3 linked regions of the Caenorhabditis elegans genome follow. The protein of the gene in region 3 purifies or fractionates together with the protein of the main gene of each other region. This does not show direct contact. Each region holds a gene or a part of one and is shown on either strand. Other genes may lie near its edges. The genes, in order: lbp-4, ttr-5 and R06C1.4.

The links.
Region 1: the proteins of R06C1.4 (region 3) and lbp-4 fractionate together in Caenorhabditis elegans (co-fractionation; one large-scale study listed by BioGRID). This does not show direct contact.
Region 2: the proteins of R06C1.4 (region 3) and ttr-5 fractionate together in Caenorhabditis elegans (co-fractionation; one large-scale study listed by BioGRID). This does not show direct contact.

Annotation. Positions count from the first base shown.
Region 1 is NC_003283.11:7,818,661-7,822,038, forward strand, and holds lbp-4 (Fatty acid-binding protein homolog 4), read left to right. Parts: upstream 1-1,917; 5' UTR 1,918-1,926; coding exon 1,927-2,084; intron 2,085-2,340; coding exon 2,341-2,443; intron 2,444-2,494; coding exon 2,495-2,671; 3' UTR 2,672-2,817; downstream 2,818-3,378.
Region 2 is NC_003281.10:9,328,552-9,331,458, forward strand, and holds ttr-5 (Transthyretin-like protein 5), read left to right. Parts: upstream 1-1,764; 5' UTR 1,765-1,765; coding exon 1,766-1,910; intron 1,911-1,955; coding exon 1,956-2,092; intron 2,093-2,137; coding exon 2,138-2,194; intron 2,195-2,242; coding exon 2,243-2,323; 3' UTR 2,324-2,377; downstream 2,378-2,907. Other genes in the region: cepr-104.1 (CEntrosomal Protein Related), read right to left, coding at 1-537, 655-815.
Region 3 is NC_003279.8:11,928,746-11,932,334, forward strand, and holds R06C1.4 (RRM domain-containing protein), read left to right. Parts: upstream 1-2,019; 5' UTR 2,020-2,061; coding exon 2,062-2,089; intron 2,090-2,588; coding exon 2,589-2,667; intron 2,668-2,742; coding exon 2,743-2,890; 3' UTR 2,891-3,012; downstream 3,013-3,589. Other genes in the region: wve-1 (Wiskott-Aldrich syndrome protein family member), read right to left, coding at 1-576, 626-762.

The sequences.
Region 1 (3,378 bases), on a different chromosome or scaffold from region 3:
TTGTTTTTTGGGGTGAACGTAGGAAATTTGTTATAATATTGAATATTTCAATTACCAAATCAGGAAGTATACAATTTTTTACAAGGAGAAATTATTGGAAATGAGAAACCTCGACAGTCTCTTAAAGTAAGAACTTTTGTTAATTTTCTAATTAACCGTACTTGGTTTTTTCAAAAGTACTGAAATTCTGAAGAAATTAAGCCTTATGAAAAGTCTGAAAAGGGATTTTGGAAACAATTACTTTTTTCAGCATTGGGAAAACGGAGAAAAAAACTCATTTTTGAGAATTTTTAGGGTGGCCGAATTTTCTTTTTTTTTCTTCTAGGCTACGCCTTGGTACTAAAAATTCTATCCGAACATAAAAGGAGCAATACAGTTTTAAACTGAAAAGAAATCACGTGGCAATACACGTCATAAAACATAACGACTACAAAACTAAAAGTTTATGCAGTCTTCGCTTGCTTCTCGAAAAACTTGTTATGGAAATGAAATTTGATATCTTCATGCTTTACTAACTAGCTTCTGTGAAGTAGGGAAGAAGATCAGTGAGTGGAATTATATATTCTATGAATCTTTCCATTTTGTTAGGGCAGCGCGGGAATTAGAGCAAACTTTCTCGATTATTTAAAATTTTATTTAAAAAACAAAGTTACTAGTTTAAATATCGTATTTCCTCTATTTGTATTGCATCCCATTGTTCAACTTTGACAACTTAAATATCAGTTATTGTTTGTTCTATTCAAAAATTGTCAACTAACAAAATATTTGTTAGATCTTTTTCTGTCATTTCGTAGTTAATAATATATACTACATCTTTTGAAAGAATTGAGTTATAACGTTTCAAAGTTGAGTAGTAGAGTGCAATACTAATAGAGGAAATACGATATTTATATTATTGCTCAACAATAGCGATTTTCGTAAATATTTTTGCAACACAGCGTTCGCACAAATTATTTTGAGTTCGCGTGATCTTTAAAATAAAACAAGGCAGCAAAACATAAAATCTTCAAACACAAGAGATGCTCTTTTCATCTTCCTGAAATGAGGGAGCTCAAAGAAAAAGAAAACCCGAAAAGTTGTGAATAGCTCCGCCCCGCCTATCTGCGTCTCTGCTTTTTCGGCATTTGATCATTTCGAAAAGTCTGACCAATCTGATTAAAGTATGTATGTGTGTTTGCACTAAAGGCGGCTTTTCTATGGCTCTCGCCTCATAACATTCATCCCATCTTAATTTTTGCAGCTGAAAAATGGGCAAATAGAAGCGGAAAGTAGGAAAAAAGGCGCCAAAATAAGCAAATGAATGACGGAAAAACGGAGAGAATATTTGGCGAGGTGCCAAGCGAGCTCCTACGTGTCAACTTCGATTATACCTCTGTTTTTCGTTGATTTTCCGTGTTTATTGAGTGCCCACAGGAAAACAAAAACGCATACTCGTGAATAAATAAGACATGAAACGAATGTGGCATGTGGAAATGGAGATTTTTTTGGGAATATAAATCTGGAATTTCAGCTGAACTTTTCATTATCTAGTTCATTTGCAAGTATATTTTTTATTTTGCAGTTTATTTTCATCTTCTACTAATAATAGTTTAAATGGGTCGCATTTTATGGTCTTGGCACGAACGCTAAATTAAGAAAAATACAGAACAGTTGACTTAAGAAAGGGAAATGGCGATTTTTCTTTTCTAAAATCGTTAGTTCCATTTCAAAATTGACCTGAACTTTATTTTCACTTATAAAATTTTCACAAATATGTTTCCTCGGAATCTATTTTCCATTAGTCTGTGGTGACTTAATACAGACGCAATCGCGCTCCACCGACACCTAATTATTGTTACCGTTCAATTTAATTCGTTCTTTCATTTATTTCAATTTTTTCCCCGTTTATTTAATTTGCATCATTAAAAAAGTTTTCAGAAAAGGAAAATGTCAGTGCCAGACAAGTTCTTTGGCCGTTATCAGCTCGATAAAAGCGAGAATTTTGATGAATTTCTCTCCTCGAAAGGTGTCAACTGGTTCGTACGGCAAATGATCAAGTTGGCTGGACTCACTAAAATTATCTCACAAAATCAAGAAGCTGGGAAGTGAGTTCAATTAATAATTTTTTTTAACTGAAAATAACCATAACTTTTTATCTGGTGAAAAACTTTTTTAACGAAATTTTTAATTTTTAGAATTTACAACTGTCAACTCTAAAATTGGAAATACGTGAAATTTTTAAAATAAATATGTCACATGCTTCTTTGGCATTTCCAAGTGGTGGAGGAAATCTTTGTCATAAATTTTTCATGTTTTCGTCTAGAGACCACGAAAACATTCAGTTCATCTTGCCTATTCCAGGTACAACATGGAAAATCTAACTTCAAAAAAGAACACCAACTATCAGGCATGGGAACTTGGAAAAAAATTCGAAGCTCCTGGATTGGATGGAAATCAACATGAGGTGAGAACGAAAATTATTTAAATAATTAATTAAAACAATTTCCAATTTCAGATCACTTTCGACTTCAAAGATGAAATCCTTTCGGAGCATCATATTCGCCTGAATGAACCAGAAACCAGCGCAGAGACTTATTTCTACACTATCGACGATCAAAATCAACTGGTGATGAGAATGGAGAATAATGGAATCGTCTGTCGCCGTTGGTTCAAGAGAGTCGAGCAGAAGTGATCTGAATGTTGATTTGATGCTTCTCTGTTAATAGTTAAACCTTATTTATATTATTGTGATTATTTATTGCTGTGCCTTTTTTGTTAATTTTACATTGAGGGTTTGCATAATTGTTTAAGTTTTTGATGAAAAGTTTCAGCTGTTCCTTCTGTGGTTTTGCACTCAACACTTTAAAAAGCAGATGTTCAGAAATGATGTCATTGAAATTGAATGTGGCGTGTTCTTGAATGTTTACCGCAACAAACGGATCAACTTTTCTGGCAAAGTGCCAGCCGTCTCCGATCGCCAGACAGGCTTTACGATGTGAGATGCGCGCACTTTTTGTGTTGACCCGGTCAACTGTGGTTACACTCGGAACACAATTCTGATTACACTTGAAAAACGAAATTGAACAAAAAATATAGAAAATAATCAAAATCAGAACATTATCTGTTTTTGAAATAATTAATCACGGCAAAAGTTCGCAGAAAAACGTCCTTGACGAAAATATTGCGAATTTAAATTTTTTTAAAAAGCTAGAATACGGTACCCGGTCTAGGCACGAAATATTTTTGTTAAATCCAAAAAGATGTGCGCCTTCGAAGAGTACTGTAATTTCGAACTTGTTGCTACGGAATTTTCATCGATTTTTAATAGTTTTTCGATAAAATAGTTATTTATTTACTTATCAAATACTGAAATATAATAATATCATCATATGATGAGTG
Region 2 (2,907 bases), on a different chromosome or scaffold from region 3:
GATCTTGTGGTTGCCTTTGACGTCATTCTTTGATCTCCATTATCATTATTTCCTCTGTTACTTTGCCTACTTTCAGTTTTTCTTCCTTTTGGTGTTTCAGCTCTTTTCCTAGGTTTCATAGGTGTCATTGGCTTCCAATCATCTGATGGCATTGGATTCTTATCAGGTGTCCATTTTGAATTGACTCCAAATGCTTTCATAGTTCCATCTTCCATCATTAAATCTGAATATGCATTTCTGATTGCATCAGACTTCACTCTATCCATATCCTTTGCTATCTGTTCAGCCTGCCGTGAGTCTCCTCTGACAACTGCGTCGCTTCTCTTGTGACTCAAATCGACAAGTTGTTTCTCGGCTTTTGATAGATCATCACAAGCTGATTGGCACAAATGTGATTTGACAGGTTCGTCCTTGTCACGATGCTCAAGGGACATGACTCGGAGATTGTTACGGAGAGTTCGGACTGATGCCAATGGATCGGCTCCAACATCTGAGCTCCGTTCGTCGTAGCCTTGCATTTTATACTCATTTTTGGGTCTGCAAGGTATCTAGTGAGGTAACGGATCATGAAAAACTGCACGATGTCTAGGATTTTGAAAGCTATTAATACAACTGACTTCTGACAATGAATCCAGAAATCAAAAAAGTACTTACAATCCATAATCTCCAATCTCTTTCTTCTCTTTTTCTTTTTCTTTGTCTATTGGCTTGAATCTTCCACCATTCCTCGAGCTCGCACGACTTCCCATTCCAGCAGCATTCCGTCGTTCTTTGTAATCGTCGTACTCCAGATCAAAGTTCCTAGATGACGACATTGGGGGAAGAATAATAGTTGTAAAAAAATATTTTGAAGAAAGTTTGGAAAGAAGGACGATGCTTGGAGCTAATCTATAATTCCCTTTTCTTTACATTTTTTTTGTTGGGTGTGTTACTATGGAAAGGAGAATAATGAAATGTTGAAAAGAAACAAATATACTAAACAAAAATTATATCGAAGGTTAAAGGAAAGCAGGTGTTTTGAGTAATACATTCTTCAATTAAACACTTTCAGGCGTAAGGAAGGCATGCAACAGGCATGTAAATAAGAATGTTAGTTGGGAAATATGATGATCGTGGGTCTGTCTACCTAAGAGCCTGCATGTTAACCATTTACCTTCGTACATGCCTATTCTGACCTTTCTCTTTGCCGGATGTTTGTTTTTAGGTTTTGGTCATAATGTTGACATCAACCTTTGGCATATCTTATTGAGTTTGTTCTCTTTGTATTTTTTTTCATACAGTTTCGGATACGTTTTCCTGGCTAGAGTTTCCCAGGTATGACTACTTGTTTGATTCTAATTGAAAGGTCACTTTTGTTTTTTATGTTTTTTAATGAATTAGTTGGTGTTTGACTTGTTTACAATTGTCTGATACACCATTTGTTTTGAAAATGATATACTTTGAGGTAACAAATAATCAGATCATCTCTTAGTATATTTTCTCGTACAGGTGTATATAAATTGATTAAATCTACTTATTTTCCATGGAAACTAATACAATTTGTGGACTACAACCACACTTTTCTGTCAAGCTTTTTTTTTATCAAAAAGATATATAACAACAAATCTCTCTTTTTTTCCGAATTATCTTCTTTTTCTTATCTTTTCCTGAGATTTCGTAAACATGTTGTTTTCTGAGAGCATAGCTATTGGTTCTTTGTTGGTTCCATTCTTCCATCCCGGCCTTTTTTACTTTATCATTTTGTTCTCAACAAAAGAATTTCAGAATGAAGCTTATAATCCTTTTGTGCCTTGTTGCCTCAAGCTATGCTTTAATTGGAAATACCCAATCGGCTGGAGTACGTGGAAAACTGATCTGCAATGGAAAACCAGCTGTTGGAGTTTTGGTCAAGTTGTATGATGATGATAGAGGTAATCAAAAACTTTTTTGAATATTTCCTAAAAGTCTATTTCTAGGAATCGATGCCGATGATTTGATGGCTTCTGGAAAGACCAATGGCAACGGAGATTTTGAAATTTCTGGACACGAAGATGAAGTGACTCCAATCGACCCAAAACTTAACATTTACCATGACTGCAATGATGGAATTAAGGTTTCTGGATGACTTTATTACATTTTAAGATAATTGAATTTTCAGCCCTGCCAACGCAAGTTCACTATCAAGATCCCAGATAGCTACATCAACAAGGGAAAGGTAAGAAGATTAAAAAAACTGGAAGTAAACTGAAATTAATATTTTCAGACTGTCCGTAATATTTACGATGCCGGAGTCATTCAACTTGCTGGATCTTTCCCAGGAGAAGGACGTGACTGTCTTCACTAAACTTACCAACTTATATATACTCTTTTTTCTTGAAATAAATCTTTTTAAAATAACAATTTTGGATTGCAACTTCAAATTTTTCAGAGAAAACATTTCGATCCTATTTTCTATAAAAATAAAGTATAACTGGAATATTCAGGAATGCAATAAATATAGATATTTTCCCTATAGTGCAAGAATCACAGGGGATACTGCAATCCTCGAAAACACATTTTATCCGTGATTTCGAATTTTAAAAAACTCATTGAAATATTTAAAATCATTCCTAGAAGATTATCGTTGTAAATTTTATAAATACCACCAATTTGTGCTGGATATTGAATTGAATTTTTTTAATATCGACAGTAATCTACTACGGCCAACAATTTTCGTACCGTCACTTGGTGTAATGTCCGCAAACACCACCACGTCGGAATGCACAAACTGGCCAACACGCATTCTTTTTTATTGTGTCTTCTTTTTTCTTTTTTAAAGTTATAAATATTGACGTTATTTAAAGCATAGAATTGTGAGAGAATGGAAAAACGCATCTAAATACTTTGAAATATAATATTCTCTTCAAAAAAACTGAATTTCAATGAGTC
Region 3 (3,589 bases):
AGAGCCTGCGGAGCCTGATATTCCTCCGGGAACGAGAAAACTTCATTCTGCTGATTAATCCGTGATCCACTAATCTGTCGATTCCTATGCTGCATATCATTATAGGCCGTCGTGCCGAGAGGGCCTTGTCCAGGCTGCTTCCGCCGCTTTTTCGGGCTTTTACTCCCGTCGTTCGGGCTTTTTACCCGTCTGGGCCGTTCGGCAACCTCTTTTAGTGTCTCCTTTTTCCATAAATCGAAGAAAAACGAGGGATTTGTGTAGAGAGAGAGCGCAGGGATTTCAGAGTCTCTATACGGATTTAGAGCATCAAGATCCGGCGGTGGATCACATTTTGCATATATTTCAGTCAATGCTGTAGGTAAAGTGCTTCTATCCAGAATATGTTGATCTACAAGCATTGAACTTTTGAATGCTTTTCGCATATTCGCTTCATTCAACGTTGCTTGATCGGAATTTGAATCCAAATCTTCAACTTTCTTGTGCAATCTATCAATTCTCTGTTGAAGAGTGTTCGATTTGTGATTTATTATCATTGCGTCGTGATAAATCTCTCCGAAGATGTTCTCAGCGTGCTTACTGCAAAAAAAAATCGATAAAATTCCAGTTTTCCGACCTAATTTCCCACCTCAACGAGCTCAATTGTCGTACTAAATTGGCGATTGTCCCATTAGCAGTACATTGAAGCTCATCACGATGGATTGTTGATGGAATTGTGCCTCTGCTGAGGTTTACCGGTGATACCGCCCGTTTTGTTAGAGGCATTGCTGAAAATGTGCAGAAATTGCGGGATTATGTGGGTGGAAATTGCGAGAAAGCGTTAGAATTCACAGAAGATGACTTGAAATCGAAAAAAAATCACTTTCTTCCCTGAATAATATGTAAAAATCCATGGATTTAATGGAAATTGGCACGAAAATCGTGAAAAAAATTAGTTAAACATAAAAATTCACTGGAAACTTCATAAAAGCGAGCAGCCAAAATCAATGAAATTAGTTGGAAAATTCCACGAAAAACTCTAATGTTAATGGTAAACACGAAAATGCACTGGAAAAATTATAAAATTGAGTTTTTTAAACAGAAAAGCCACTTTTTTAATAAAATTATGCTGAAATTGGTAACTTTACCGGGAAAAATCGCTAGAAAACATATAAAATTGCTTCATTTACATGCTAAACCCACAAATTCACTGAAAAACTTATAAAACCTAATTTTCCAACGAAATATCATAAAATACATAGTTTTTCAGCTTCAAAATTATTATTTCTGTCAGAAAATGTTTTTTTTCATCGGAAAAACTGCAAAAAACGAGGAAAAACCAATAAAATCTCATGTTTTTCAATTAAAATATCATTAATCCAGAAATGCGCCAAGGTGCACCCGGGATGCGTCAGCAAACACTCACGAGAAGTGCGCAAGCGAGCGTCTGCACTCTCTCGAATACATACAGTGTCTCGCTGTGATTCATCGGAAATATTTTCATTTCCGGAAATGTTTTATATTTATTTAAATATTAATTTTTTTCGGTCTAAAAAATGATATACAAAACAAAAAATCGATACAGGAAAATGCGAAAATAGAATGAGATTGAAATTTCAATATTTACTGTTCAAAATATTCAAAATATCGTGAAATGGCGAGGTTTCGGAGAGATGGTCCTTTTTATTTATCAATGAAATTGTTCTAATTCTGAGAAAAATAACAAAATATAGCTAAATTCTCAATTTTCGCCAACTTGGTTGTGTCACAGAAGCTAAAATTCATTTCGAATACCGAGCCCGTACAGTAGTCATTTAAAGAATTACTGTAGTTTTCGCTACGAGGTATATTTCGCGTCAAATTTGTTACGTAATAAGCATTTCACTTTCCCAACAATTGCCGATTTCTTCTCCAAAATATCCCTCCCGTAAACCTACACAAAATCGACCGTAGTGCGGCACGTTCGCTGCGAGACCCGCCGCGCGTTTGGCCTCAATCTTTTTAGGACTGCCAAATTCGATCGAACATTTTTAGTCTGTCTTCCACGCGGAAACACACTCGTTTTTCTTCAAAAAAAAATCTATCATGGCTTCCCAAGGATTCTCCGTCTACGGTAAGTATAGTAATAAATCGGTGGTGAAAATTAAATTTAAATTTGTACAAATTTTGAATATGATACAAAATTCTCAAAACTTCTGAAACTTTCTCACACTTTTCTTCGATGAACTTTTCTTCGACTTGCAGAAAGTATCGATTTCTGATAATTGTTAGCGTTTTCCGATCGGCCTTCGTTCTCTATGGTTCATTCGTGTTCCTTGACAACAAATCCCGATATTTCAGGTAGTCCCCTTCCACGTGTATAAGTATAACTGAGTCTACTAACTGAGTACCCGGGACCCCACACGGATCGCCACACAATTCTGGAAATGGAGACGCCGTTCGACCACAAAAAGTATGGGTGAAGAGACTTTTCGCACTGTCATGGTCTCCGTAGTCTAGGACTAGGATAGGGTGCATTTGCTCTGTAACAGTGCATTGTGAGAGTTTGTAACTTTCTATATATAGGCCAAAACCTACTATTACCCCCGTTTTGCTAATCGATTTTTTTCTAGTTGGAAACGTTCCATACCAAGGAACTGAGGAGGAGATCGGAAACTACTTCGCCGCCGTCGGACATGTTAACAACGTCAGGTAAGAGAACTCAGAAACTCAGAAACTCGGAAACTTTCGATTAAAACCTTGTCAAAACTAATCAATGTCTTCCAGAATCGTGTACGATCGTGAAACCGGACGCCCACGCGGTTTCGCATTCGTCGAGTTCTCCGAGGAAGCCGGAGCTCAAAGAGCCGTCGAACAACTTAACGGAGTTGCCTTCAATGGACGCAACCTTCGTGTCAACTACGCCAACAAGTAAACTGACAACGCCGCCGAGTGACTCAAAGAGATTGCACTTGTGATATACATTCCACCAAAAATTCTATCTTCGTGCATGTTTTTCACCATCTACACTTAAATAATAAATCTTTTTGAAAACTGAAAACTTCGAGCATTTTTTCACAGAGTGCAGGTTTACGGCTCAGTCTTAGGCTTAGGCTTAGGCTTAAGCATAGGCTGGGGCTCAGGCTTCGGCTTTTAGACCTAAAAAAAGATCGTTGCACCATGAGCAAAGTATTATAAAGAAAATTGACTTCAAAGAAACTGACACGTGGTGTCAAAGTGTCCCATTTTGGTTTGATCTTCGAAAAATGAGGGAAAAGAGACGCAGACTTTTCAACTGACGTCACACTTTCCTGGGGAGAAAATTCCCGCATTTTTTGTAGATCAAACCGCAATGAGACAGCCTGACTCCACAGATCCCATCTGAAAACTCATGAATTTAAATAATGATGCATACTTTTACTCTGTTCTGGCTTTGCATCACTTTGAGAGCCTTTTCAAGCTTTTCAGATAAATATTTCCTTGATTGTGCTTGCCTACGAGCCTACGTGCATACACAGAGATTTCGTTCGTACTTTTCTGATTACATCTCGGGATCCGCGGGAGTACTCCACTACTTTACGAGAGAGACCATAGGCTTATCCGTGCTCTGACTTGAGGTGTTTGTCGACACTTG